3 linked regions of the Stegostoma tigrinum genome follow. The main gene of each other region encodes a partner of the protein of the gene in region 3 in a complex. Links are inferred from orthologs where the notes say so. Each region holds a gene or a part of one and is shown on either strand. Other genes may lie near its edges.

The links.
Region 1: the proteins of bccip (region 3) and tent5aa are in contact, whole or in part, in a crystal structure (PDB 8EXE), measured with the Homo sapiens proteins. The link is inferred for Stegostoma tigrinum from reciprocal best matches to the Homo sapiens genes BCCIP and TENT5A. Residues at the interface, in NP_510868.1 of Homo sapiens: Val57, Asn58, Ile59, Glu60, Phe61, Glu62, Ala63, Tyr64, Ser65, Leu66, Gln146, Val149, Leu150, Phe152, Cys153, Glu154, Lys155, Asn156, Cys157, Glu158, Lys159, Glu163, Lys167, Leu203, Ala204, Ala206, Thr225; in NP_060103.2 of Homo sapiens: Arg87, Gly88, Asp139, Glu151, Gln155, Lys158, Lys184, Glu185, Val188, Gln189, Lys190, Met191, Val192, Lys193, Val194, Cys195, Asn196, Asp199, Trp201, Asn213, Arg289, Lys295, Glu331, Arg334, Gln341, Asn342, His343.
Region 2: the proteins of bccip (region 3) and tent5c are in contact, whole or in part, in a cryo-EM structure (PDB 8EQB), measured with the Homo sapiens proteins. The link is inferred for Stegostoma tigrinum from reciprocal best matches to the Homo sapiens genes BCCIP and TENT5C. Residues at the interface, in NP_510868.1 of Homo sapiens: Val57, Asn58, Ile59, Glu60, Phe61, Glu62, Ala63, Tyr64, Ser65, Arg136, Gln146, Cys153, Lys155, Ala204, Gly205; in NP_060179.2 of Homo sapiens: Asp90, Asp92, Glu102, Gln106, Arg109, Lys135, Glu136, Val139, Gln140, Lys141, Leu142, Val143, Lys144, Val145, Cys146, Thr147, Asn164.

The regions. Positions count from the first base shown.
Region 1 is NC_081357.1:38,177,195-38,187,200, reverse strand, and holds the start of tent5aa (terminal nucleotidyltransferase 5A), read left to right. Parts: upstream 1-6,049; 5' UTR 6,050-6,333; coding exon 6,334-7,515; 3' UTR 7,516-10,006.
Region 2 is NC_081365.1:38,339,310-38,350,280, forward strand, and holds the start of tent5c (terminal nucleotidyltransferase 5C), read left to right. Parts: upstream 1-6,327; 5' UTR 6,328-6,580; intron 6,581-10,971. UniProt on the Homo sapiens protein: Catalyzes the transfer of one adenosine molecule from an ATP to an mRNA poly(A) tail bearing a 3'-OH terminal group and enhances mRNA stability and gene expression.
Region 3 is NC_081373.1:31,760,268-31,770,467, forward strand, and holds the start of bccip (protein BCCIP homolog), read left to right. Parts: upstream 1-6,216; 5' UTR 6,217-6,443; coding exon 6,444-6,560; intron 6,561-10,200. UniProt on the Homo sapiens protein: During interphase, required for microtubule organizing and anchoring activities. During mitosis, required for the organization and stabilization of the spindle pole.

The sequences.
Region 1 (10,006 bases), on a different chromosome or scaffold from region 3:
TAAGGATTATAAGCTTACACCTTGTTCAGAACTTGCTCCTAAGTGCCCACACATATGAATTCAACCAGCAATTGCTCATCTCCAATTTTATATAAACAGAAGGGCCTCAGCCATATAATTGGGCTTTACACATTTCTATTTCTCATTTCCATAAGTAAGTCATATAAACATGGGACAAGGAGGAGGACACCTACCCCTTTGAGCCCATTCTGCTAATCAATAAAATCATGGGTGATCTAATTTTTAACCTGCACTCCACATTCCTCCCAAGTCTCTATCCCTTCCTTATCAAGAACCTACCTACCTTGAAAATAAGATCCTATCACCACCACCTTTTCCAGAACAGAATTTAAAAGACTAGAAATGCTCTGTCATAGAGATCTACAGCATAGAAAAAGGCCCTTTGTTCTGTTGTGTCTAACTAAGCACTTATCTATTCCAGGCCCATTTTCCAGCACTTGGCTCTTAGCCTTGAAAGCCTCGGAATTACAGTTGGATATCTAACTACTTCTTAATTATTATGAGGTGTTTTGCCTCTACCATACGTTCAGACAATGAGTTCTAGATTCCCACCACCCTATGGATGGAAATGTTTTTTTTTCTCACATCCCGTTTGAACATTCTGCTATTTTAATAGGTGGTGCAGGGAACATTGAATAAGATTATTTTCAGAGTTCAACAGGACATTGATCAGGTGGGCCAATGGACTGAGGAATGACAGATGGAGTTTATTTTAGATAAATGCGAGGTGTTGCATTTTGGTAAGGCAAACCGAGGCAGAACTTATGCAGTTAATGGTTGGGCCCTGGGCAGTGTTGCCAAACAGAGGCCTAGGGGTGCAGGTGCATTGTTCCTTGAAAAGTGGAGTCACAGATAGGCAGAGTTGTGAAGATGATATTTGGCACGCTGGCCTTCATTGATCAGGATATTGAGTATAGGAGTTGGGATATCATGCTGTGGCTGTAGAGGACATTGCTGAGGTCACATTTGGAATACTGCGTACAATTCCGGTTTAGATTAGATTAGATTAGATTCCCTACAGTGTGTAAATAGGCCCTTTGGCCCAACAAGTCCACACCACCCCTTGAAGCATTCCACCCAGATGCATTCCCCTATAACCCACACACCCCTGGACACTATGGGCAATTTATCATGGCCAATCCACCTGGCCTGCACATCTTTGGACTGTGGGAGGAAACTGGTGCACCTAGTGCAGACACCCACGCAGACACGGGAAGAAAGTGCAAACTCCACACAGACAGTTGCCCAAGGCTGGAACCGAACCCGGGTCTCTGGCACTGTGAGGCTGCAGTGCTAACCACTGAGCCACCATGCCACCCATATGGCAGACCTTGCTTTTAAATTTCTACAATCGCTTCATGTATGTACATTAGAATAATTGTATTTGCAACAGTGGTTCCCAAGGAACTCCTCACTTAAACGTTTGCTCCTACTCTAACTCTGCTAAGGATTATAAGCTCACACTTTGTTCAGAACTTGCTCCTAAGTGCCCACAAATTTGAATTCAACCAACAATTGCTCATCTCCAATTTTATATAAACAGATGTGCCTCAGCCATATAATTGGAAGGGTATTGTTAAACTTGAGAGGTTGCAAAAAGATTTATAAGAATGACAATAGACAATAGGTGCAGGAGTAGGCCATTCGGCCCTTCTGTTGCTGGGTTTGGAGGTTTGAGCTGTAGGCAGAGGCTGAATAGACTGGGACTGTTTTGCATGGAGCGTTGGAGACTGAGGGGGTGACTTTATAGAGGCTTACAGAATCATGAGGGGGCTGGATAAGGTGAATAGCCAAGGTCTTTTCCCCAGCACTGCAGAGTCCGAAACAAGGGGGCATAAGTTTAAGATGAGAGAAGAAAGATTTAAAAAGACTCGAGGGGCAACTTCTTCATGCAGAGGATGGTTTTGCATGGAACGATCTGCCAGAAGAAGTGGTGGAGGGAGGTACAATTACAACAGTTAACACACATCTGCATGGGTATGTGAATAGAGGGATATGGTCAAATGCTGGCAAACAGGACCACGTCAGATTGGAATGTCTGATTGATGCAGATGAATTGAAATGATGGGTCTGTTTCTGTGCTATGACTTAATGTCCCCTGATCACTGATTCCTCCACCTAGGGGAAATGTTTCTTTCTGCCTACCTTATCCATGCCCATTATAACTCTATACATTTCAAACATGTATCCTCTAAACTCTTCTAATCTCCAGAAAACAACCCTAGTCTATCCAGTATATTTTCATAACTGAAATTCTCCAGCCCACAACATCCTGGTAAATCTCCTCTACACTCTCCCCAGCACGAGCACATTCCTCCCATAATGTGGGTTCCATTCTTCTGATTTGTATCTTAAATGGGTGGCCGGTAATTTTAAACAGTAACCCCTACATTCTACATTCACCCAGTGGAGGAAAGATCTTTTCCACATGCACCCTGTCAAGACTCTTCAGGTTTTTTGTGTGTATCGAACAAGTCATCTCTAAACTTCCAACAGATACAAGTATAGCCTCTCCAATCCTTCATAAAACAACTCACCCTATAATTTGTATCAGTGATAATGGGAACTGCAGATGCTGGAGATTCCAAGATAATGAAATGTGAGGCTGGATGAACACAGCAGGTCCAGCAGCATCTCAGGAGCACAAAAGCTGACGTTTCGGGCCTAGATCCTTCATCAGAGAGGGGGATGGGGTGAGGGTTCTGGAATAAATAAGGAGAGAGGGGGAGGCGGACCGAAGATGGAGAGAAAACAAGATAGGTGGAGAGGAGAGTATAGGTGGGGAGGTAGGGAGGGGATAGGTCAGTCCAGGGAAGACGGACAGGTCAAGGACGTGGGATGAGGTTAGTAGGTAGGAGATGAAGGTGCGGCTTGGGGTGGGAGGAAGGGATGGGTGAGAGGAAGAACAGGTTAGCGAGGCAGAGACAGGTTGGACTGGTTTTGGGATGCAGTGGGTGGAGGGGAAGAGCTGGGCTGGTTGTGTGGTGCAGTGGGGGGAGGGGGCAAACTGGGCTGGTTTTGGGATGCGCTGGGGGAAGGGGAGATTTTGAAGCTGGTGAAGTCCACATTGATACCATTGGGCTGCAGGGTTCCCAAGCGGAATATGAGTTGCTGTTCCTGCAACCTTCGGGTGGCATCATTGTGGCACTGCAGGAGGCCCATGATGGACATGTCATCTAAAGAATGGGAGGGGGAGTGGAAATGGTTTGCAACTGGGAGGTGCAATTGTTTATTGCGAACCGAGTGGAGGTATTCTGCAAAGCGGTCTCCAAGCTTCCGCTTGGTTTCCCCAATGTAGAGGAAGCCACACCACGTACAGTGGATGCAGTATACCACATTGGCAGATGTGCAGGTGAACCTCTGACTAATGTGGAAAGTCATCTTGGGGCCAGGGATAGGGGTGAGAGAGGAGGTGTGGGGACAAGTGTAGCATTTCCTGCGGTTGCAGGGGAAGGTGCCGGGTGTGGTGGGGTTGGAGGGCAGTGTGGAGCGAACAAGGGAGTCACGGAGAGAGTTGTCTCTCCGGAAAGCAGACAGGAGTGGGGATGGAAAAATGTCTTGGGTGGTGGGGGTCGGATTGTAGATGGCGGAAGTGTCGGAGGATGATGCGTTGTATCTGGAGGTTGGTGGGGTGGTGTGTGAGAATGAGGGGGATCCTCTTTGGGTGGTTGTGGCGGGGGCGGGGTGTGAGGGATGTGTTGCGGGAAATGCGGAAGACGCGATCAAGGGCGTTCTCGACCATTGTGGGGGGCAAGTTGTGGTTCTTGAAGAACTTGGACATCTGGGATATGCGGGAGTGGAATGCCTCATCGTGGGAGCAGATGCGGCGGAGGTGGAGGAATTGGGAATAGGGGATGGAATTTTTGCAGGAGGGTGGGTGGGAGGAGGTGTATTCTAGGTAGCTGTGGGAGTCGGTGGGCTTGAAATGGACATCAGTTACAAGCTGGTTGCCTGAGATGGAGACTGAGAGGTCCAGGAAGGTGAGGGATGTGCTGGAGATGGCCCAGGTGAACTGAAGGTTGGGGTGGAAGGTGTTGGTGAAGTGGATGAACTGTTCGAGCTCCTCTGGGGAGCAAGAGGCGGCACCGATACAGTCATCAATGTAACAGAGGAAGAGGTGGGGTTTGGGGCCTGTGTAGGTGCAGAAGAGGGACTGTTCCACGTAACCTACAAAGAGGCAGGCATACCTGGGGCCCATGCGGGTGCCGATGGCCACCCCCTTAGTCTGTGGGAAGTGGAAGTTGTTGAGGGTGAGGATGAGTTCGGCTAGGCGGTTGAGGGTGAGGACGAGTTCCTTGTCAGGGGACTGGTCGGTATTTAAGCTGATTAATATTAACCGGGTTATTGTTATATAGAATTATTCTGAAAATTACCTCTGATAATGAATTATGTTAATTTATATGGGATTAAGATTAATGGGTCTGCATTTGATTGTGGCACGTTGTGTTATGTCTTTCCGACCTACTGCTGCTTCCTGATCATTAGGGCTTTACCAATCTCTTCCGAGGTATGGAGCTCTGCTCAACTACCAATTAGAGGATTGTAAATAATCAGAGATATGTGTTAAGTTGATATATCCTTAAAATTTAGTGTACTATGTTTCTAACAAATCCGTTTACTGCTTTCCGCAACTCGTTTTACATTGCATGAGTTTGGCTGTTGGACACAAAACCCATTGTAACGGGAACAGAGTTACTTCTGCTCCCGGAAAGGCCACAAATGAGGATCATCGAAATATTTCATCTAACCGTCGTTTGTACTGTTTATTTCAGTCTGCAACGGCTATTTTCGTTGAAACAACAAAAACAGAGATTGGGAATGATTACTGTTAATTTGCGGACTGTCGCTATTTGTAGTACTGCCAACAGGAGGCGCAGTTAGCACGCTACACTGACACTTGCCCCAGACAGACTGTACAACTTGCAACATTCGTGCAGTCACGTTTTTTTTAAACATTTTTGCTCGCTTGGTTTTTAAAGCAGTTCGGTTACACAGGCTGCAATTTATAAGATATGTGGGAGATATATTTAAACTGGTCAAATCCCTTCGGAACAGGCATAACTTCCGATAATCTACTTTATCCGGGTCTCAGTGTCTGGTAGGATTCCAAAGTGCTTCAAGCAGTTTTACATTTAAAATGACGCGCACACACAGCTGACTTCGACTTCACGGGAAATACGAAACGAGCTTCAAGAAAATACTGGCGAAATTATTCCCTACCGATCGCAATATCATTTGCACCGTCGAGATATCCAGTCGCGGTGTCAAATGCAACTTATGTTAACAACAGCAATTAACATTTCGCCGGTTTTTTTCACTTATTTCTTTCGAAAGACCACCATTTGGTTAGGAAAATACAAGGGTCTCATTAAAATCAGGGTGTGTAAAATGACAGGGTCTTGTGCAGTGGAAATGAATTACTGTAATCTTCACAATGAATCGCTCGCGTTTGAAGTCTTTCATGTCAGCAGCCCTAACCCAACAGGTTCCCCCGGGCTCGAAGGTTATAGGTAACTCCAGAATTCCCAGCACTGAGGGGAGAAATCCTGTTGGTTGTTAAATAAGTGATATATTTAAAAGTCCGGTTTGTCGGCTGGGGTGCAGGATGACAAGCAGCTGTTTGGAATAGAATTCCTCACTGACATTAGCCACACAGCAGCCTTCACTTTTCATTGAATTTCCCTGGGACAGTAAATTACACCTCGCGAGGAGCCCCGCCCCTAGCCGGCGGTGATTGGCCGTACGGAGCCACTACTAGGCGGGCGCCAGCTACCTATTCGCCTGTACAGTTGTCAATCAGCGTGTCTCCGCCCACCCAGCTCTCCAGCTGCTGAGAATTGATACATTCATGGAAGAAATGGGTATGGGGAGGGAGCTGGTGCGAGAAAAGGAAGAGGGTCCTTTCAATCCTCACTTGCCACCAGCTTCATTTTGGAAACCCTAGCCCCCCGCCCACTCCATTCCCGGAAAACACTGATTGTGGGGGACGGGCAGAAAAATATTAAAAGTTTAAGCAATGTGCATTATTTTGAGTCGTTTAAGGTGCGAGCGAGCGCCAGGCCTCAGCAATTTATGCAAATATAATAGGCGTGCCATGTCCGTGACTCACTACCGGAACTGCACGGAGAAGCCATATAAAAACTAATGGGAGAGTTAATACGCAGATAGCTAGAGCTTTGCGGCTCGCGCAGACGAGGGAATTAAAAAAAAGCAGAGAGAAGGAGGATAAGAAATTGATCACGTCTGTAAAATAATAAAATAAATCTCTCCCCCTCTCTGTCATTCTCTGACGAAGTGAGCCTGCACATTACAATGGCTGATGAAAATGCCAACACGAAATGCAGTAGTTTTAACGTTCTGAACTGGGAGCAAGTGCAGCGGCTGGACAGGATCCTGACAGAGACGATCCCGATCCACGGGCGGGGAAACTTCCCGACCCTGGAGCTGAAGCCCCGGCAGATCGTGCAGGTGGTGCGGAGCCGCTTGGAGGAGAAGCGGATCCGGGTGCGGGATGTGAGGCTGAACGGCTCGGCGGCTAGTCACGTCCTGCACCAACGCAGCGGGCTGGGCTACAAGGACCTGGACCTTATCTTCCGGGCTGACCTGAGCGGGGACAAGGAGTTTCAGACCGTCAAGAACGTGGTGCTGGATTGCCTCTTGGATTTTTTGCCCGAGGGCGTGAACAAGGAGAAGATTACCCCGCTGACCCTGAAGGAAGCCTATGTGCAGAAGATGGTGAAAGTTTGCAACGACTCGGACCGCTGGAGCCTCATCTCGCTGTCAAATAACAGCGGCAAGAACGTCGAACTGAAGTTCGTGGACTCGCTGCGGCGCCAGTTCGAGTTCAGCGTGGACGCCTTCCAGATTAACCTGGACTCGCTGCTGCTTTTCTATGAGTGCTCGGAGCACCCCATGTCCGAGCACTTCCACCCCACCATCCTGGGCGAGAGCGTCTACGGCGACTTCGAGGAGGCGCTGGAGCATCTGCAGCACAAAGTAATCGCCACCAGGAACCCCGAGGAGATCCGCGGCGGCGGCCTCCTCAAGTACTGCAACCTGCTGGTGCGGGGCTTCCGGGCGGCCTCCGAGAGCGAGATGAAGGCGCTGCAGCGGTACATGTGCTCCCGCTTCTTCATCGACTTCTCGGACATCGGCGAGCAGCAGAGGAAGCTGGAGTCCTACCTGCAGAACCACTTCCTGGGCCTGGAGGACCGTAAGTATGACTATCTGATGACCCTACAGAGGGTGGTCAACGAGAGCACCGTCTGCCTGATGGGACACGAGAGGAGGCAGACCTTGAACCTCATCACCATGCTGGCCCTCCGGGTCCTGGCTGAGCAGAACATCATCCCCAATGTGGCCAATGTGACCTGCTACTACCAGCCGGCTCCTTACGTGACCGACGCCAACTTCAACAACTACTACATCGCCCATGTGCAGCCGGTGTTTACCTGCCAGCAGCACACCTACTCCACCTGGCTGCCCTGCAACTGAAAGGAAGGCAAGAAGGCTTTGCTGTGATACGGACAAAAGGGGCAAAAAGAGCAGAGGGTGAGAACGCAATGGGGAGGGCACAGCACCTTTCTTTGTGGTTTGGATCGGGGTGGGAGAAACACACTATATATACACACACACACACACACACACACACTAGAAAGTTCGACCCTGCCCTGTCTTGTTTAGTGCAATGCTGATCTGCTCAACTCTTCAGAGCTTAACTTTTAATTAAAAAAAAATAGCTCGCCTGCATTTTTTCCCTCTAGTTGAGGCAGATCGAAACTGTTTGAGAGAGGGGAAGGGGAGTAAAATCACATTCGATTTAACCCCGAGCCAGGAGGTGGGTATGGCAGCTTTAAAATGCTTCTTTTTAAAAAAAAACAAAATGACAAACATTGTTTTTTGCTTTGGCTTTACCTCTCCCATTCTGGCTGTCATCCTACAATGACAACATGGGAATTCAGCACCCGTACACTCTTGTGGTCGGGACTGACCAGCCCCTTTTAACAAAAAATGCTGATTTGGGGGTGAAGGAGAGGCTCAGATTTTCCCTTGCCTGTTCTCCGATAAATTCATACAGCAGAGAAGCTGAAACCTAGAGGTCCGTCTCGTGTTGCCTTCTGTAAACAGGGTGGGGGACCGGTTGCATTTGGGGGCTTGCGATCGCCATGTATGGGATGATACACCAAGTGAAACTGCTTCTTCGCAGTTGCATGCTTTTTTTTTGAGTGCTTTCTAAACTCTAATGGTTTTGCTCCAGACGCAGGATGCAGGATTATTATCAGATGACGACAGAAGTCGCTATTGTGCTATCCGCGGCTCCTGGTTTCAGAGAGCGTACACTTCACTTTTATTTTGGACGTGAAAGTGTGCAGAACGCTTGGCTAATATAATGTTCAAGGACCAAAGATATTTTTCGTTTTATATATGTACAGTATATCAACAAAAAAAACCCATGGACAAGAACAGATGTGGCTAATTTATATTTGTCTACATGAACATGAATCAAAAGTGCCTATTATCTATACGAATGGGAATGGAGATACTGTATTCAAATCTTGTGGCTTAATCCACATTTTTCTTTATCAGGGACAAAAAGAACGTGTTCTTGCACGAATTACTAAATTCCCTATTTTCTTGGAAAATACTTGTACTTCAGAAAAAAGTTGCTGTTTATGTGATAGTTTAAAAGTATGTATTGTCTTGGACAGTGTAGCACTTAGGTAAGTGTTTAAACAAAGTACTTTATATTTTCCAGTTTATAATAAGAGGTTCCTTGGCACTTTGTTTCCTCACTCAGAAAAGGTATAATATGTCATGTGCCACAGTTGCGTTTGAGTTTATGAACTAAATAAAGCACAGTTGGATGTCTGGGGATATATACAGGTGAGAGAGAACTGTGAAATCTTGTAGTTTGCTTATAACACCAACCTAATTGTGAAGTCAGATAAGTAATCCAATTGAATCCTCCTAGAAATGAGGATGGGATACACCTGAGTTGCTCATAACTGGGCTTGTGTATGATCAGGTTGGCTGTCCCAGCACTTCATTAATCATATCCAAATGTGTTATTCTTAATCTAGTTTATGATAAGATCACGTGATTACTTTACTTTATATGACAATTTTGAGGAACAAAATCACCAAAAAAAACCCCTGATTTAGGGCTGCAAACCAAATGAAGTGTTTGACACCTGACTAACCTAAAAAGGTCGGGGAAATACTTGAGCACAAGCCAATGGAAGTTGAATCGGAAAGTGACAATTCAATCTGGATTCTGATTAGGCATATTGGTGGGAGGGGGGTGGGGGGACCTGCCTGTTGTATACTGAGGGAAGGGTCTGCTATCAGTTATTTGACCCATGACAACAACAGCTGTCATTTTGCATAGGCATGTAGTTTTTTTTTTAAACACTGCAACCAAAACATGGTATGTCCAGGTATTACCATTACCCCCACCTCTATCACTGTTCTCCAGTTCAGAAATATGCTTAAAAATGGAGATTGAAGTTTATGGTAAATTGATGAATGAACTGTTTAAGTGACTGCCAGCAGGAGATTGTGCCTGTCCTTTAATCTCTTTAAAATACTTTAATCTCCAATTCTAGTTTACCATGTGTTCCAAATTTGCTCTTTATTGGTGTGCATTTTGGCCAAAGTTTATTATACCTGGATCCATTAAAACATTCCTATAACATGTTTGAAAATTGTAAGAGTTTTGAGCCAGGAGGGGGAGAAGAACTTTGCATTCTGAGCTCTTACAATCAGGAGCTAGGAGAAGTCTTGCCCAATTTGCAGTGGGGAAAGAGTTGTACTGGTTTTTGAATGCACATTTTTTAAAAAAAATGTTCAGTTAATTTTGAAAACAATCATCGTCTGTTACTTGGAAATAAGCACATTCTATTGAGAGAGGTAGGCTTAAAAATGTGCAACAGAATGAACTCAACCGTGCCCTTTGTTTGCTTTATCAAGAACTTGTGTTTACTGTT
Region 2 (10,971 bases), on a different chromosome or scaffold from region 3:
CAATGTGGACTTCACCAGCTTCAAAATCTCCCCTTCCCCCACCACATCCCAAAACCAGCCCAGTTCCTCCCCTCCCCCCACTGCACCACACAACCAGCCCAGCTCTTCCCCCCCAACCCACTGCATCCCAAAACCAGTCCAACCAGTCTCTGCCTCCCTAACCTGTTCTTCCTCTCACCTATCCCTTCCTCCCACCCCAAGCCGCACCTCCATCTCCTACCTACTAACCTCATCCCACCTCCTTGACCTGTCCGTCTTCCCTGGACTGACCTATCCCCTCCCTACCTCCCCACCTATACTCTCCTCCCCACCTATCTTCTTTTCTCTCCATCTTCGGTCCGCCTCCCCCTCTCTCCCTATTTATTCCAGAACCCTCACCCCATCCCCCTCTCTGATGAAGGGTCTAGGCCCGAAACGTCAGCTTTTGTGCTCCTGAGATGCTGCTGAGCCTGCTGTGTTCATCCAGCTTCACATTTTATTATCTTGGATTCTCCAGCATCTGCAGTTCCCATTATCACTCACGCAGTATTCCAAGTGCGGTCTAACCAAAGTTTTATAGAGCTGCAACAAGATCTCACAACTCTTAAACTCAATCCCCCTGTTAATGAAAGCCAAAACACCATGTGCTTTCTTAACAACCCTGTCCACTTGGGTGGCCATTTTAAGGGATCTATGTATTAGCACACCAAGATCCCTTTGTTCCTCCACACTGCCAAGAATCCTATCCTTAATCCTGTACTCAGCTTTCAAATTCGACCTTCCAAAATGCATCACCTCGCATTTATCCAGGTTGAACTCCATCTGCCACCTCTCAGCCCATCTCTGCATCCTGTCAATGTCCCGCTGCAGCCTACAACAGCCCTCTATACTGTCAACGACACCTCCAACCTTTGTGTCGTCTGCAAACTTGCTGACCCATCCTTCAATCCCCTCATCCATGTCACTAATAAAAATTACAAATAGTAGAGGCCCAAGGACAGAGCCCTGTGGAACACCATTCACCACTGACTTCCAGGCAGAATATTTTCCTTCTACTACCACTCGCTGCCTTCTGTTGGCCAGCCAATTCTGTATCCAGACAGCTAAGTTCCCCTGTATCCCATTCCTCCTGACCTTCTGAATGAGCCTACCATGGGGAACCTTATCAAATGCCTTACTGAAGTCCATATACACCACATCCACAGCTCGACCCTCATCAACTTTTCTAGTCACATCCTCAAAGAACTCGATAAGGTTTGTGAGGCATGACCTGTCCCTCACAAAGCCGTGTTGACTGCATTTGATCAAGCCATGCTCTTCCAGATGGTCATAAATCCTATCCCTCAGAATCCTTTCTAACACCTTGCAGACGACAGACATGAGACTTACTGGTCTGTAATTGCTGGGGATTTCCCTATTTCCTTTCGTGAAGAGAGGAATTACATTTGCCTCTCTCCAGTCCTTAGGTACGACTCCAGTGGAGAGCGAGGATGCAAAGATCCTTCCCAAAGCAGCTGAGGACAAATCTGGTCCAGCCCTGGCGACTTGTCAATCTTAATGTTTGACAAAATTTTCAGCACATCAGCTTCCTCTATCTCTATCCATTCCAGCATGCACACCTGCTCTTCAGATATATTCAAAACTATGGGTTGAAGGTGGTAATATGAAGTTAGATTGCAGATGGTTTCAATGCTGGAATTGGCTCTAGGAGCTAAGTGGCCCACCGCAGCTTATATGTTCTTATAATTGAGAGCAGACTGATGGGGGGTGATAATTAGCTTCTGTGAACAGGATATACCTGAACAAGTTTCCACTTTCTGTGTGATGCTAGTGTGGCACCTATACTGGAAAAGCTTGGTGGTAGGCACAAGCCGTCTAGAGCAAGATAACAAAGCGTGAAGCTGGATGAACACAGCAGGCCAAGCAGCATCTCAGGAGCACAAAAGCTGACATTTCGGGCCTGGAAGGGTCTGGGCTTCTGTGTCAGCTTCTGTGCTCCTAAGATGCTGCTTGGCCTGCTGTGTTCATCCAGCTTCACACTTTGTTATCTTGGATTCTACAGCATCTGCAGTTCCCATTATCTCTGATCAGCCATCTCGAGCACTTGTTTTCAACACTGCAGCTGGGATGTTGGTGGCGCCTAACACCTTTGCACTCTCCGGTGCGTTCAGCCATTCCTTGATATCACATGAACCAAAGTGAATTCAGTAAAATCTGACATCTGTGATGCTGAGGATTTCAGTTGGATGCTTTTAATGGATCAGCTACTCAGCACTTCTGTCTGAAGATGGTTGCAGATCCTTCAGCCTTATCTTTCCCACATGCTCCCTGGGCTTCGTGATCATGTTTACAGAGTCTCTTCTTCATTTTTATTTATCCTGGCTGGGATTGATATGGATTGCACAGCATTGTTTAGAGCATGCTGCTTCCATTGGGTTGTAGCTTCACCAGTGAGGCTACTCATATTCAGTTATACCTCGTCTTGATACAATCTTTTACACTCTTCATTGAACTGAGGTTGATTCCCTTGCTTGATAGTTATGGTTGAGTTCGGAAAGTACTGGTGAGCTCTAACATTACAGATTGTGTTAAAATACAATTTTGCTGCTGATGATAGCTGCTGCACCACGTGGGTGCCTAATTTTGAGATGCTAAATCTGTTGGGTGTCCAACCCACTTAAACAATGATAATTCCACACAATATTAGGGAGGGTGTCATAATTAAAAGTAGTTCTACAATAGTAATGCTTTTGAATGTCAAGGAAAGATGGTTCGATCATTTTTTGTTGGATGGTCATTACTTGGCATTTGTATGGAATGAATATTATTTGCCGCTTATCAGATCAAACCAAAATGTTGTTGCATATGGTACAGGTTACTCTGTATCTGACAAGTTGTAATTGATACTGAACATTACTATCATCAGCAAGCAACCCAACAGTATTTTGGAAGCAAGGTAATTGACGATGCTTAAGTCTAGGACACTACCTTATGGAGATCCATAGCCATTCCCTGGTTGACATCCAACAATCGCACCATCTTCCTTTGTGTTAGGTATAAGTCAAACTAGTGCAGAGTTTTCCCCTGATTGCCATTGCCTAATTTTATAAGTGCTCCTTGATACCATTTTAGGTTAAATGCTATTGTCAAGTACAGTGACTCACATCTCATTTCTGGACTTCGACTCTTTTGCTCATGTTGGATCAAGACTAGAATACAGTGTGGAGATGTTTGAAAAGGGCTTGACTAAATCTAAAAGAGCACCAATGAGCAGATTATTGTGATGAAAAAGCTCCTTCATTGCATCTTGATGGTGGCTTCTGTCAGTATACTAATGATTGAGAGTAGATCAATGAACAGTAATTGACTGGTTTGGTTTCATCCTTTTTTTTGTGGACAAGTCTTAACCAGGGAAATTTTCCCACATTGCTGAGCAGATGCCAGTGCTGTACTTTATTTATTTTTTTTCACTCATAGGACATAGGAGTCACTGGATGGCCAGAATTTATTTCCCATCCTTAGCAGCCCTTCAGAAGATGGTGGTAAGCTGCCTTTTTCACCCACTGCAGTCCATATATTGGACCAAATTGGCTAGGGGCACAGCCAGTTTTGTAGCATAGGTTTTCAGTACTATTGCCAGATTGCTGTCAGGGCCCATAACTTTTGTAACAGTCAATGCTTTCAACCACTCCTTTACATTACATGGAATAAATCAAATCAACTGAGGACTGGCATTTAAGATCTTGGAAACTTCAGGAGGAGGTTGAGTTGGAATAAGCACTCTGCACTTTTTGCTTGAGATGGTTGCAAATACTTCAGACTTGTATTTTGCACTAATATGAGCTCAATAATTCCCAGTAATTGAGGATGAGGAAAACTGTGGAGCCTCCTTCTCCATGGAGTGATTTAGCTATTCACTGTAACAATACAGGGATAATAAGTCAGATTAATCAGACTCAACAACATTGGAAATGGCAACACAGTGAAATTAAAATATTCAATGACCCTCAAAATCACAGAATTGCTCCTAACCAGATTTTATGAATAACAGGTATTGAACACTAAATTCATAGTTTAAACAAAGTTTAACAATTTATTAGTAGTACCTCAAGTTTAGCTCAGTTAAACAACAAAGTAATCTAATTAATGTCTAAAATTTAAACCCAATCTTCTTTGATCATATTCCCACTCACACACATACATGGACAGACAAACACAATTAAGGTTAAATTAGAAAGAAAATAAAAGTGTTGTAACTGGCCAGTTCACTTAAGCAGTTTTTAACAATGGTTGCTAAGTCTTCATGCAGTCCTGAATAATGAGTTGTTCACAGGCACGTGACTGTACATTGTACTTGAATTCCAAAATCACCAGTCAATCTATTCAGCTTCCGCAAACTGCTGGAGACACTTACTTAAGTCTCATAGACTGGGGTTCTTTTCTCAGAACTTTCAATAATTCTATTAGAGAATGACTACACAGCAACCAAAACTCTGTCCAGCAGCTTTTAGAGCCACACTGCCTTCTATACAAAACCCAGTCCAAACCAGTTAAATATATAGTTGCTTTTTTTTGTCATTTTATCTTTGTTTGACTGGCTGGCACTGGCCTTCCTTTGTCCTTTTTAATATCATAATACATCTCCAGTACCACAACATCTTCAGTATTCAGAGAACAATAACTAAGCTGCAATTATTTTTTAAAGCCAATTTCCATATCAGAAATTTTGTTCATTGCTCTTTCTAAAAAAAGCTGCTTGTCTAAAGTTCAACTCTCAATTTCAGCTCACTGTTCCAAACCAAAACTGTTAAAAATCATGAAATAATCCGTGATGGTCCATCATTCATGACTGGGTATGATAGGACTGCAGAGCTTAGCTCTGTTTTGCTGGTTGTACCATGAAGTAGCTCTGTCTATAGAACTGTAGTCAGTTCTAGTAAGACTGTCATGAACTGATGCACTTTCAACAGGTAGCTTGGTCTGGATGAAAACAATTTGGTTTCTCTCTTCTGTTCTCTAATCATCTATTGACGTGAAACATCAACTTTCCTGCTGCTCTGATACTGCCTGGCCAGCTGTGTTCCTCTAGCTCCACATTGTGTTATCTCAACCCATCAGAATAGTTGTTGGCCATCTGCAGATTTTTTTTTGCTTTGTTTGACTTAAAGCAATGAAACTTTTGCACAGAGTCTGATGTTGACTTGTCTATTCCTGTGTTTCTAATCTGGTGGTTTTCATGGTGTGTAGTCGCATGTTAAAAGTGAGTGAACTTCCACATTTTAAATTTCCCCATGAATGTCAGTATTTGTGAGTGCTGTATCCATTTATAATATAGATTCTCTGCTACAAAGTTGTTCTGGTGAAAAAGAATCAATTTCTCATTTATAATTAGTTTTACATTCCTGTGCAGCTGATTTGAAATAAAAACACATTTTTCTCAGCTAAGTAAGCCAACTGCTAACAGCTTTCATCATCGTCAAATCTGCAACATGTCAACTATTGATTTACTAACACTGGAAGGAATGTCAACTCCGGTGCTGGGTTTAAAGACGGTGAATTGGCAGGAAAGGTGAAATATTGCTGAAAATGTACAACAAATTCAAATACAAATAGCAGTGTCAGACTCAGGAGCAAGCGTAGGCTATTCATACTTCCAACCTGCTGTTTGCCTCTTAATAGGATAATGGTTGATCAGGTTGTACTTTCCTGCTTGCTTTCCATAAACCTTGACTTCCTTGTTTATCAAAGATTTATCTGACACTGCCTTGAGTAAATTGAAAGGCCCAGCCTCCACTACTTTCAAAGCGATTTCCACTGACAAACCTCTGACTCTAAGAAAATAATCTCATCTCAGTTTTAAAAGAAAAGCGCGTCCCTTATTTTTAATTTTCGCAACTTTAACGACACAATCGCGGAAAAGAAGGAAAATATCAGTTTCATCAAAAAAAGTAGTGAGAATTGCTATGTTAGAAACTAAAAGATTGATAGCCACGGACTCTAATTTACATTTCTTCCCCCTTTTCACACCCAACCGATTTTATTGGATTCAATAGAAAGTTTCCAAAATCCTGCACGAAGCAACTTCAATTGTGATCATTCCTGTGGAATACTCGAGTTGAAGTGAGGATAGGCAGACGAGGAAGCCAAGTTGTTGAAGGGAAGATTGGAGGCAGGAGCTGGACCGTATCCGGTGGCGAAGGTGACATTGGGTCTGGAGTTGCTGCTGTTTGCTTGTGCCGACAGCAGAGGGGGTGTTGCTACTAGCTTCAGGCTGACAGGTTGGCTTTCCGCCCACAGGTCTGACGATTCTATCTCCATGGAGATATGTTTACGTACAGATCACGGCGAGGTCTGCAGCTGAGATCCCATTTATACAGGCTGATGCGGACACATTGATCGTACTGAGCGGCGGACAGAGAAGCGCCCAGACTGAGGAGGATCCTCACAAGTTGCCCGACAAGGACTTCACGTGGAACTGCACCCAGGACACTTTTAATTCTAAAACAAACATCATGTTTCGGTTCACTTACGAAGCGTTGCCTCTGACTTTCTGAGCAGCAAAGAAAGTTTGGTCAGCAATTCCATTGCACTATTTGCAGGGGTGAGTAAGACCGCAGAGCTAGCTGTAATCTGTCACATTTCACCGCAGACAGCGCCACCATTAATGTCCTGAATCAGCAAATACTATTTTTAAACAGTGTCAGACAAGGATACGAACACCTAATTTATACATTCAGAGCGCGTGTCTATATATAATAGAAATGCTTAAATAAGGGAACGTTAATTAACAACTTCCAGTAAAATTGCTAGCTATGTGTTTTACTGCGGTGTACCTCGAAAGGCATGTGTGCCTTTTCTAATAAGTGTCAGGCAACACCTATTTCAACTTGAAAAAATTACGATAAAATGTATGAATGTAAGTAGAATATAATCATGTAATAAGTGTGTAAATTATGGCATTCCAACGAACAGGTAAGACGGATCTCTGATGCAGTTGCAGGCACAATCCTTGTCTTTTTTTTAAAAAAAGAATTTTGTGAATGGTAAATCTTATTGGTGCATTATCCACTGACCTTTAATTCCACCGAAAGTTTATTTTTCTCCGAAAAATGTTAAGATGTAAAGCGAACGCTAAATTGTAAAAGTTCACTTTCGTCCGAAATAGTTTGAAAGATAATTTTATGAAGATATGAAGTAGCAGGCTCTTTTACAAGAATCTAAGATGATTACATATACCAAGCTTTATCTTTGTATGGACACACATATGCCCAGATTATGAGACTAACAGCGAGCACAATAAGTAAGAGTCGCTTTCAAAATTTTACGATGTGCAAATTGCTATCTGGTGATGGATTTATTTTTAAAAGAACACATCGTTCTGCAACATATTCAAAGTGAAATATAAATAAAGCACATCTGAGGTCTGTTCCGATTTTGTATTTTGGGCTGCGAGTAAGATCCTTATTTTAAAATAGCGTATGATGTGGGGGGCCACGGGGCTAGAAATAGCGACCAGTTGGACCCGATACACAGCTCATTGGGAATGATACATGTAAATTATCAGTCACTTGTACATACACCCCATCCCGCCTCACAATAAACGATTGTTTGAAACAGTTCCATGCTAAGTCCATGTACATTTGCGTCAAACTGTAAAAAAAATGAGAAAAATTGATATCTTTAATCCTATCAAAGACATTCTGTGGAATTGGTAATTCGGCGAAAAATACGAACTGAATGTACTTTGGCGAGATCTGTGTGTACAGTATTAAATGTAAAAAAAATTTAAAAAGGCAAGGTCCTTTACAAATCTGATTAACAAGACAAGAACACTTTGTAACAGCAGACGGTCTTGGACGACTTAAACTTAGATCCTGGAACTGAGAAGGCGGAGTGCAGCCTGGTGGCAGGAAGTGGTAATACATGGCACTGGAGTTATGAAGTTCTCACTGTGAAGGAACAGCAGTACACGAGCGACAGCAGTGAATGTTACGTTTTGGCATTTACAGGTTAATGCTCAACCTGTTTGCTTGTGCTATGTGCTATGAATGCATCTTCCTTGACATCAACCCCTGGACTAGGCTTTAAACACAGAGCTCTGGTTCAATGGCACAGACCCTGCCAACTGTGCCACAATCCCCAAATTTACATCAACAAGCAACTTTAAAAAATCCTGAGCGCTTTACGATAGTAAGGAGGTATCTGTACCGAGATATTTTTGTGTTAGAGAAAATAGTCTCCCATACTAATGAGAGCAGCATTTATAATTCAATACGTTGCTTTGTATTGCACCTGTAAAGCGCCTTGCAACGTTTCTTTGAGAGAAACGGTATTTCAGTGTAACTTCTTGTTGTTTATTGCTTCAAAGGATGGCGGGATAACGATTTACAAAGTTCTCTTTAATGATTATAATTCATCTAAGGAAGATATTCTAATGCCCTCAAATTGTTTGTAACAGTTTGAATTATTCAGTCTACTACTTCTTTCGTTGTTAAATCAATGAAAATAAATTGAATCGTTTTTATGAAGAAGAGTTTCCCGATATCACACCGACATTTACATTTTACTAGATACCCAGAAAGTCTTGTGGCACAGCTGGCAGGGTCTGTGCCATTGAACCAGAGCTCTGTGTTTAAAGCCTAGTCCAGGGGTTGATGTCAAGGAAGATGCATTCATACCACATAGCACAAGCAAACAGGTTGAGCATTAACCTGTAAATGTCAACGTACGCCAAGGTATGAGACTTGTTTGCCTTGGCTCTACTCTCAGTTTAATGTGAAGGGTTAACTTTCTTTTAGTAACCTTAACACGCTTTTAGAACACCATATAATCACCTGCAAGATTTCCATTTTTGTTTGAAAAGCTGATATTTCTTTGACAATTCAGATTCCTGGCACTGGGGTTCAGGCAAATTGCACAGAAACACTGTCTACAAAAGCAGAAATTACAGGAAAGGCACAACAGGTCTGGTAGCATTGGTGGAAAAAAAAGTTTCAGGTTCAGTGACCCTTTGTCAGATCCTTCCTCTGAGGAAAGATCACTGAAACCAAAACATTACCTCTGATTTCTCTTCACAGATGCTGTGAGACCTACTGTGCCTTTCCAGCAATTTCTGCTTTTGAAACTGTCTATGGAGCCTGATTATTTTTCTTGTTTGTCGGTCAGCTCTGAATGCAACATTATAGATGGGGATTGAAATAGAGCAGGTCACAATTTGATCCTCAGACCTATGTCCCATGGCAGGATGATGGTTGGCTCACATTGGTTCGACTTGCATAAAGTGGAACCTATTAAGAAACAAAGCCTCTTTCAACTTCACCCTGAGATAGTTGGATATCTTTCAAAAATGGGGTCAATGATCAGTGATGTTATGACACACCTCTGGAGCAGGTGGGACTTGAACCCAGGCTGGACTTCCATAAGGCATTTCATAAAATGCCACACAAAAGCTTAATACACAAGGGAAGTCACATGGGGTTGTGGGTCATTTATTATCTTGGATAGAGGATTGGCTAGCCAACAGAAAACATAGAGTCAGAATAAATGTCTTTTTCAGGTTGGGAAGACATAACTGGTAGGGAGCCACGGTGCTCAGTCCTCAGCTCCAATCCATACAATTGGATGTGGGGATGGAAAGTACTATAGTCAAATTTACAGATGATACTAAAACAGATGGGAAAATGAGTTGTAATTAATAATAAAAAAGAAATTTACAAAAGTCTCTTTCAATTCCTCCCTCTTCCTACAGACTAAGGGGGTGGCCATGGGCACCCGCATCGGCCTCAACTATGCCTGCCTCTTTGTAGGTTACATGGAACAGTCCCTCTTCCGCACCTACACAGGCCCCAAACCCCACCTCTTCCTCCGTTACATTGATGACTGTATCGGCGCCGCCTCTTGCTCCCCAAAGGAGCTCGAATAGTTCATCCACTTCACCAACACCTTCCACCCCAACCTTCAGTTCACCTGGGCCATCTCCAGCACATCCCTCACCTTCCTGAACCTCTCAGTCTCCATCTCAGGCAACCAGCTTGTAACTGATGTCCATTTCAAGCCCACCGACTCCCACAGCTACCTAGAATACACCTCCTCCCACCCACCCTCCTGCAAAAATTCCATCCCCTATTCCCAATTCCTCCGCCTCCGCCGCATCTGCTCCCACGATGAGGCATTCCACTCCCGCACATCCCAGATGTCCAAGTTCTTCAAGGACCGCAACTTTCCCCCCACAGTGATCGAGAACGCCCTTGACCGCATCTCCCGCAACACATCCCTCACACCCGGCCCCCGCCACAACTGCCCAAAGAGTATCCCCCCTCGTTCTCACACACCACCCCACCAACCTCCGGATACAACGCATCATCCTCCAACACTTCCGCCATCTACAATCCGACCCCACCACCCAACACATTTTTCCATCCCCACCCCGTCTGCTTTCCAGAGAGACCATTCACTCCGTGACTCCCTTGTTCGCTCCACACTGCCCTCCAACCCCACCACACCCGGCACCTTCCCCTGCAACTGCAGGAAATGCTACACTTGCCCCACACCTCCTCCCTCACCCCTATCCCAGGCCCCAAGATGACTTTCCACATTAAGCAGAGGTTCACCTGCACATCTGCCAATGTGGTATACTGCATCCACTGTACCCGGTGTGGCATTCCTCTACATTGGGGAAACCAAGCGGAGGCTTGGAGACCGCTTTGCAGAACACCTCCGCTCGGTTCGCAATAAACAACTGCACTTCCCAGTCACAAACCATTTCCACTCCCCCTCCCATTCTTTAGATGACATGTCCATCATGGGCCTCCTGCAGTGCCACAATGATGCCACCCGAAGGTTGCAGGAACAGCAACTCATATTCCGCTTGGGAACGCTGCAGCCCAATGGTATCAATGTGGACTTCACCAGCTTCAAAATCTCCCCTACCCCCACCACATCCCAAAACCAGCCCAGTTCCTCCCCTCCCCCCACTGCACCACACAACCAGCC
Region 3 (10,200 bases):
GTGGACAGCAGATGTCTCCCCAACGTAAAATTTTAGAAATGTCATGAGGTGGCCGAAAGATCAACAGTTTGATTTTACACGCTTCCTACCTTGACAGAAAGCAGAAGTGGCAGGGATAGCAAGGCAAGTTAATTGTAGGAGGAACCTTATAAAATTGCCAACAATAGTTGCAAACCTGAAGATTTGGAGAATTTTACAATTCAGCAAAGAAGGACAAAGAAATTGTTACAAAAACAGAATGGAATGAATGTAAGTAGTAAGAAACATAAAACAGATTGTAAAAGCCTTTGAAGATAAATATAAAGGAAATAATTAGTAGAGATGAATGAGGGTCCATTATAGTCAGAGACAGATGAATTTATAAACAAGACAGAAATGGCAGAGAAACCAAATAAATACTTTTTGTCTGTCTTTACAGAAGAAGGCAAAAGAAGTTTCCTGAAATAATGAAGATCCAGAAGTCCAGTGACCAATTGTAGAAATGAAAGAAATTAGTGTTAGTAAAGTTATAGTATTTTGGAAATTACTCCGACTGAGAGTTGACAAACCCCTGGGGCCCAATAACCTTCAAACAGATACCTAGAGAGACAATAGATGCATTAGTGATTACCTTTCAAAAATTCTGCAATGGTGCCTACAGATTGGAAGATTGAAAATTTAACCAGACTATTTAAGAAAGAAAGGGGAGGGAAAACATCACAGCTTTATTGGCTTGCACCAGTAGCAGGTAAAATACTAGACTCTGTTTTAAAAAAATGCTTTTACTGGGTATTTAGAAAATGGTTGTCTGATTGGACAGAGTCAACATAGATTTATGAAGGGGAAATCAGATTTGACAAATGTGATGAAGATTTTGATGATGCTACTAGCAGATAACAAGTGGTTATGGGATATTTGGATTTTCAGAAGTCCTTTGATAAAGTCTCACATAGGAAGTCGGCAAACAAGATTAAAGTGCATGACATTAGGGATATTGTGCAGCAATGATTAAGTATTGGTTAACACACAGAAAGCTGACAGTAGGAATGAATAGTTAATTCTCAAGTTGGTAGGGTATCTCATTGCTTAGGCCCCAGCTGTTCATAATCTGTATCAATGATCTGGGGACCAATTATAATATTTCAAGTTTGCAAATGATTCAAATGGGAATTTGAGCTGTGAGGGGGGAGGCAATGTGGCTTTAAGAATCTTAGACTGAATCTGTACTCAAGAGCATGGTAGATGGAATATAACATTGATATGTAAAAAGTTTATCCACTTTGGTAGGAGCAACAAAGGTACAGAATATTGCATTAATGGTGTTGATTGGAAAATGTTGAAATCTAAAAAGACCTAGATGTCCTTGATCATAGGTCACTGGCAGCTAGTATGCATCTGCAGCAAGCAATTCAGAAAGCAAATCGACTGTTGGTCTTTATCCCAACAGAATCTGAGCACAGGAGTTAGAGGTTCTTGTTCAGTGTACATAAAACTGGTGAGACCACAACTAGATTATTGTACACAGTTCTGATCCTCTTGGCATAGGATTACAGTAAGGTTTACCAGATTGGTTTATGGGATGCTAAGACGGTCCGATGAGGAGGGATTGAGCAGACTGGGCCTGCATTCCCTGGAGTTTAGAAGACTGAGAGGTGATCTACGAGGTACTTACAAAATTCTTGAAGGGATAGACAGGTGTCAAGTAGAAAAGATGTTTCTTGAGGTCTCAATCCAGCAGATGTTGCCTCAGAATAAAAGCCAAACCATTTAACTTGGTGCAGGCAATTCAAGAAGCACTGTTTTGGCTTGGGAATTTAATTTATAGCCTGAGAACTATGTCCGTTATATTTATTCTAACTTTTTCCCAACTTGAATACAAGTTGCAACATGGAGAATTACATTTTTAAACTTTCCAACAATAAAAACTTGTTAGTCATGAGGCTAATAGCCTTTCCTTGGTTGTTGATTGCTAACATTGCAGCTGCCACTAAGCTCTTTTTTGAAATGATCCAAATGCTTTGCTAGATAGGAGTAGCAGTAAAACAGTTGATTCAGCACTATAGCGTTTAATAAGTTCATTTGGGTTCAGGATAATGCAGCTTTTTGGACCAGCAACAATGCCAGACCCACATCCAATATCTTGATTTCTTATTCATAGCATGATTATTCATAATCCAATTTTACATTACTCTATTACCAATGAATCCTGATGGGCAAAATTATCATGAGGAATCTGTTTAATCAATGGAAGCACAGACCCTAATTTTCCGACTCACCAATGTGAACAAAAACCTCTTATTTGCTTTGTACATGATGAAGGACTATTGATCCAGTCCAGTACATTGTCTAAACATGTAAATGTGGTGCCTGTAGTCACTGTCTAAGTGATTAAGATCTGAATGAAAAGCAAAATCACAATGGGCACACTTTTACATGGGTTAGTGACGGAGGGACAGCTTACCCAATGCATCCCCCACACCCCACAGCAAAGTCAGTGAGGAGTGGATTGACCAAGAAGAAAGCCACGCTGCAGCTGTAGCTATTGCACAGGAGGGGATAGGGGTGTTAGTGCTGGTGTATCAATTGAATTCGTGGATGAGACTGGGGCAGCTACCCATCACTGGGGAGAGGTCCCACCTCTTGAAGCTGCTGACCAACCTCATTAACTAATCGCTCCAGAAGTCAGTTTGGCTCCTGTCCACCTACCATGGTATGGGAGTGAGCTCAGAGATGGGTGAGAAAGGGGTGAGGTTGGCACCCTTCCAAATTTACATACCCACTCTGCCAAAAACACAGAGGTGCATGTAAAATTCAGACCATATCTTGCAATGCTTCCCTCTATGGTTCGCTTTGTGCATATCAATATTGATCTTTCTGTTGCCCATTCAGAGTATTTATGCCACTCAGTGTCATTTCCTACTATGTACATATCTCAGTCACTCAACATACAATCCCTTTGCATGTAGCTGTCAGTCAAACTATGCCTTTGTCAATGTGATATTCTGTAAGCACCTGTGATTGAATTGTTAACTGTCACTCTTACTCAGTACGTAGCTGGGTGTCAGTATTCTGCTAGATAGGTGTCATTCAGTTTATGCGGCTCTATATGTAACTGAAATTCATACTGTTTTATCCTTGTACCACTCATCTGATATGTACCTCTCTCTGTAACTTCTCAATCTCTTGATTCTTTCACTGTTTCTAAATTATCAGACTAGTTGTCTGACATCTAACAACAAAAATCACTTCCAATTAAATATTGGGAAGATTGAAACCATTGTCTTCAGTCACTACCACAAATTCCATTTCATCACGCTCTACGGCAACCATCTGAGGCTGAACCAAATTATTCATAACATTAGCAGAATATCTGACCTCAGTACCCGTTTCAGACTATATATCTGCCATCACCAAGACTGTCTGATTTCTAACTCCGTAGAATTACCACTACCTCAGCGCATCTGCTGGAACAGTGATCCACACTTTTGTTATTTCTAGACTCAACCAGTCTAAAAAGCTCCTGGCTTCCTTCCCACATTCCAAAATCTTAAGCTCATCCTAAATTCTGCAGTGTTCTTGCATTAGTCTTATTCATTCATCAATCCTTTATTAGCCAAATTGTACTTGCTTCTGATCAAACTACTCCCAAGTTTTAAAATTCAAATTTTTTTCAAATCCCTCCATGGCCTCTCTCTGGAATTGCCTCCAGACTCTCTATGTGTTTCTGACTGTACATTTCTGTCACTTTATTTCACTGTCAACTATAAATGGATCAAAGGATATAGGGCAAAGTCAGGAGCAAGGTATTTAATTGGATCATCAGCCATTATTATTCTGAATGGCACAGCAGGCTTGAAGGGCTGAGTGGCCTATTCTGGCTCCTATATTCTATGGTTCTATGTCAATGTTTCTACATGGTGGCTCAGTGGTTAGCACTGCTGCCTCACGGCACCAGGGGCCCGGGTTTGATGCCAACCTCAGGCGACTGTCTGTGTGGAGTTTGCACATTCTCCCCATGTCTGCGTGGATTTCCTCCCACAGTCCAAAGGTGTGCAGGGTAAGTGGATCGGCCATGCTAAATTGCCCATAGTGTTGAGGGATGTGTAGATTAGGGGGATGGGACTGGGTGCGATGCTCTGAGGGTCAGTGTGTAGATCTGTTGGGCGAAGGGCCTGTTTCCACTGTAGGGATTCTATGATTTTCTACTTCTACGATCATTTTGAACTGTCACATTGTCTATGTTTTTGACTGTAGCTTTTTGCATATTTCAGGCTGGCACTGAGTATTGTCACTCTCTATATTTCTAACTGTCACTATATATGTACTTGAGGCTATCCATTTCTATGTATATCAATCTGGCACTTTCTGTATATTTCAGGTAGTCCTTTAAATGTCAGCTATGTACCCAGAGGTTATCACTCACTCTTTACATTACTTACTATCATTGACTATGTATTTGATGGTCACTGTACATTTTGGACTGTTCTTCTCCTTACATATTTTAGACCACCCCTCCCTGTATTTCAAATGTATCTTTATAATTCAGACTGTCCCTCTCTATGTAAGAAGGATCTCTATATTACAGGAGATTTCTTTTTATATTACTACAGGGACCTTTACATTCCAGAAGTCTCTCTCTTTATTAACAAAAGGTACCTACATATTTCATACTGTCCCCTCTCTGCATTGTAGGCGGATCTCTGTATACGCCACACTATCCCTCTCCATGCATTTCAGATAGATCCCTATATTACAGACAGTTTGCTCTCTCCACCACATACTGCATCCTGTCTGGACTCCCCAGATTTCAGACTGTGCCAATTATATTCCTTCTGCAACAGTATTCCAGATCGCCTCAATAGTATTCCAGACTACCCCTCCCCTCGACAGTCCAGGCACTCCCACATATTCCAGACATTTATATTCCAGACACCCCTGTATTACTCATGTCCTCCCGACAATCCAGGCCCCTTCATGATATTCCAGTCCTCACCATTTCCAGACTCCCTCCTACATCCAGACCCCTACATATTCCAACTCGTACCCCATATTCCAAAGATTACTCTTTCCAGATCCACCCCTATAATCCAGACTCCCCCAATATTTCAACCGTCCCTAAACTCCACATCTCCCCTTATACCCGAATCCACTATATTTCAGTTACGACCTATGTTCAGTCCCCCTTACATTCCAGATGTCCTCTACATTTCAGTTCTGCCTACTAAGAGTCCAGTCCGTACCTATAATCCAGATGCCCCCTACATTTCAGTCCCTCCCTGTATTCCACATCCACCCTACATTCTCATCCCCCATATTCCAGTCCCCACAATTATATTCCAACTCCCCACTTTATACTAGATCCCCTCTCTATTCCTGTCTTACTATGTTCCAGTGCTTCCTTATATTCAATCCCCTATATTCCAGTACTTCTCTATATCCCAGATGGCCCTACATTCCAGTCCCCAATGTTTCAGTCCTTGTCAAATTCCAGATCCACCCTATATTCTCAACGCCAATATACCCGTACCTACACCTTTATTCCAGTCCTTCCTTAAATCCCCACTCTATTCCAGTTCCTACTATGTTCCAGTACTTCTCTATATTCAGTCCCCAATATTCCAGAACCTCTCTGGACTCCAGATCCCCCCCATATTTCAGTAAACCCCTAGATCCCAGATCCATCCTATACTCTAATCCTGCTATATTCCAGTTTCCCCAATTACTTTTCAAATCCCTACTTTATTCCAGCCCCTCTCTGTATTTCAGATTAAACCTACATTCTAGTCCCCCTATACTTCAGATCCTCTCTCATATTTCAGTTATTTCAGTTCCTTCAAGTTACTCCCTATGTTCAGTACCACCTACCATCCAAATCCCCCTCCCCTTTATTTCCAGTCCTCTTCTATTCCTGCACTCCCATTTTCCAGATTCCTTTCTATTCCAAACCACTACATTCCATGGTCCCACCACCCCCATATTCCAGTCCTCCCTTTATCCCAGTAGCTCTCTCTCTTAGGATCAGGTGTGGAGCTGCAAGAACACAGCAGGCACGGCAGCATCAGACGACCAGGAATTCCCGATGTTTCGGGTGTGGACCCTCCTTCAGAAATCTCCTCTCTATTCCTATTCCCACCGCGCCCCCATTCCAGGTCCGCCCTATATCTACAATACTACAGACTTATTTCTCACTCACTGCCAAGGCGTTCCCACCGATGACGTCACCGCAGGTCGCCCGCTTTGGGGTCGAAGGTCATGAATGGGCAGCGCCAAATGATCCCTGCACCCAACAGTAGCTTTAATCTGACACTCACAGAAAGAGGTGTTTCTTCACACTTCACACGATACGGAATCGCAGATGATTTTCGCGGCAAGTGGGAATGGTTGTCACGGTTTAGAGCAATGATTTCCGGCTGTGGAAAAGGCCCCCGGGCAGTGTAGTTTCCGCTGACGTTGCGCTCTGGAAGATGGCGTCTTCGGCCAAACGGCGGCAGCTGGATCCGGCAGTAGAGGAGTCTAGGGGAAGTGGAACGGAGGAAGAGTCTGGGGACAGTAGTGAAGAGTCGGAGCCGGAAATACACCAAGTGAGAAAAATAACGGTCGACCCAACCGTCACCGCCCGCGAGACGGGTTTAGAACCCGAGCGCGCGCAGCCACTGGGGAGGTGGGGAGCACAGAGAGCGGGAGAGACTAGAGGATACAGGAGGTGAATTAGGCCATTCAGTCCATCAAATCTTCTCCAACATGGCCGATGTCTTTCTCAATCCCATCCTCTTGCCTTCTGTTCTCCCCATCGCCATCTCCGCCTCAAGAGGTAGCAAGAACTGCAGATGTTGGCGTCAGCGAAAATACAGCGTGGAGCTGGAGGAATACAGCAGGCCAGGCAGCATCAGAGGAACAACTTTCCGGCTGCCCTGGCTCCCTGTGTTCTTCCAGCTCCACAGTATTATCCCCACAATAACCCTTCATCCCCCTTACTAATCAACAACCTATCTGTTTCTTTTCAAGAGTGAGAGAGACTCAGGACGGAAGAGAAATGGATATGGACACAAGTGGAAAAAGTCAGGGTAGATAAGATGGAGTAGTGGAGATTGGGTGTGTTGAGGGAAATGGGAAATGGGAAAGGGTAGTGGGGCAGAGGAGAGGGTAAAATTGTATCAGAGATAATGGGAACTGCAGATGCTGGAGAATTCGAGATAACAGAGTGTGGAGCTGGATGAACACAGCAGGCCAAGCAGCATCTCAGGAGCACAACAGCTGACGTTTTGGGCCAAGGCCCTTCTTCAGAAAAGGGGGAGGGGGAGGCAGATTGAAGAAGGATAGAGGAGAAGATAGGTGGAGAGGAGACAGACAAGTTAGAAGGGCAGGGATGGAGCCTGTAGAGGTGTGTGCAGGTGGGGAGGTAGGGAATGGATAGGTCAATCTGGGGAGGACGGATAGGCCAAGGGGGTGGGGTGAGGTTAATAGGTAGGAAATAGAGGTGCGGCTTGAGGTGGGAGGAGGGCATAGGTGAGAGGAAGAACTGGTTAGGGAGGCTGGGATGAGCTGGGCTGGTTTTGGGATGCAGTGGGGGGGGGGAAGAAGGGAGATTTTCAATCTTGTGAAATCCACATTGATACCATTGGGCTGCAGGGTTTCCAAGCGGAATATGAGTTGCTGTTCCTGCAACCGTCGGGTGGCGTCGTTGTGGCACTGCAGGAGGCCCCGTATGGACATGTCGTCTGAGGAATGGGAGGGGGAGTTGAAATGGTTCACGACTGGGCGGTGCAGTTGTTTATTGTGGACCGAGCGTAGGTGTTCTGCAAAGCGGTCCCCATGCCTTCACTTGGTTTCCCTGATGTAGAGGAGGCCACAACAGGTACAGCGGATGCAGTATACCACATCGGCAGATGTGCAGGTGAACAACTGCTTGATGTGGAAGCCCGCCTTGGGCGTGGGATGGGGGTGAGGGAGGTGATGTGTGGGCAAGTGTAGCACTTCCTGGGGTTGCAGGGGATAGTGCCGGGCGTGGTAGGGTTGGAGGGGTGTCTGGAGCAGACAAGGGAGTCACGGAGAGAGTGGTCTCTCCGGAAAGCAGACAAGGGTGGGGATGGAAAAATGTCTTGGTGTTGGGGTCAGATTGTAGATGGTGGAAGTGTTGGAGGGTGATGCGTTGGATCCGGAGGTTGATCGGGTGGTATCTGAGGACGAGGGGGATTCTCTTTTGGTGGTTATTGCAGGGACGGGATGTGAGGGATGAGTTGCGGTGAATGCAGGAGGCATGGTCGAGGATATTCTCGAACACTGCGGGGGAAGTTGTGATCCTTGAAGGATGAGTTATGTCTGGGATGTACGGGAGTGGAATGCCTCATCCTGGGAGCAGATGTGGCGGAGGTGATGGAATTGGGAATAGGGGATGGAATTTTAGCAGGAAGGTGGGTGGGAGGAGGTGTATTCCAGGTAGCTGTGGGAGTCGGTGGCCTTGAAATGGATATCGGTTTCTAGATGGTTGCCTGAGATGAAGACAGAGAGGTCCAGCAAGGTGAGGGATGTGTTTGGAGATGGTCCAGGTGAACTTCAAGGACCGCGACTTCCCCTCCGCAGTGGTCAAGAATGCTCTCGACCGTGTCTCCCGCATTTCCCGCAACTCATCTGTGATTCCCTTGTCTGCTCCACACTCCCCTCCAACCCCACCACACCTGGCACTTTCCCCTGCAACTGCGGGAAGTGCTACACTTGCCCACACACCACCTCCCTCAACCCCATCCCATGCTCCAAGAAGACCTTCCACATCAAGCAGATGTTCACCTGCACATCTGCCGATGTGGTATACTGCATTTGCTGTACCTGTTGTGGCCACCTCTACATCAGGTAAACTAAGTGGAGGCTTGGGGACTGCTTTGCAGAACACCTATACTTGGTCTGCAATAAACAACAGCACCTCCCAGTCACGAACCATTTCAACTACCCCCCCCTTTCATTCCTCAGACAACATGTCCATCCTGGGCCTCCTACAGTGCCACAACAATGCCACCCGAAGGTTGCAGGAACAGCAACTCGTATTCCGCCTGGGAACCCTGTAACCCAATTGTGTCAATGTGGATTTCACAAGCTTCAGAATCTCTCCACCCTCCCCCCTCACCACCACTGCATCCCAAAACTAGCCCAGCTCGTCCCCACCTCCCTAACCTGTTAGACCATAAGGCCATAAGACATAGGAGTGGAAGTGAGGCCATTCAGCCCATCAAGTCCACTCCGCCATTTAAATCATGGCTGATGGGCATTTCAACACCACTTCCCTGCACTACCCCCCGTAGCCCTTGATTCCTTTTGAGATCAAGAATTTGTCGATCTCTGCCTTGAAGGCATCCAACGCCCCTGCCTCCACTGCACTCTGCGGCAATGAATTCCACAAGCCCACCACTCTCTGGCTGAAGAAATGTCGTCTCATTTCAGTTTTAAATTTACCCCCTCTAATTTTAAGGCTATGCCCACGGGTCCTAGTCTCCCTGCCTAACGGAAACAACTTCCTAGCGTCCACCCCTTCTAAACCATACATTATCTTGTAAGTTTCTATTAGATCTCCCCTCAACCTTCTAAACTCTAATGAGTACAATCCCAGGATCCTTAGCCGTTCATCATACGTTAAACCTACCATTCCAGGGATCATCGCTGTGAATCTCCGCTGGACACCCTCCAGGGCTAATATGTTCTTCCTGAGGTGTGTGGCCCAAAATTGGACACAGTATTCTAAATGGGGCCTAACTAGAGCCTTACAAAGCCTCAGAAGCACATCGCTGCTTTTATATTCCAACCCTCTTGAGATAAACAACAACATTACATTCACTTTCTTAATTACGGACTCTACCTGCAAGTTAACCTTTAGAGAATCCTGGACCAACACTCCCAGATCCCTTTTGCACTTCTGATCTGCGAATTTTCTCACCGTTTAAATTGCCTGTATTTTTTTTTTCCAAAGTGCAAAACCCCACATTTACTCACATTGAATTTCATCAGCCATTTCCTGGACCACTCTCCTAAACTGTCTAAGTCTTTCTGCAGCTTCCCCACCTCCTCAGTACTACCTGCCCGTCCACCTATCTTCGTATCATCAGCAAACTTCGCCAGAATGCCCCCAGTCCCTTCATCCAGATCATTAATATACAAGGTGAACAGCTGTGGCCCCAACACTGAACCCTGCGCGACACCACTCGTCACCGATTGCCGTTCCGAAAAAGACCCTTT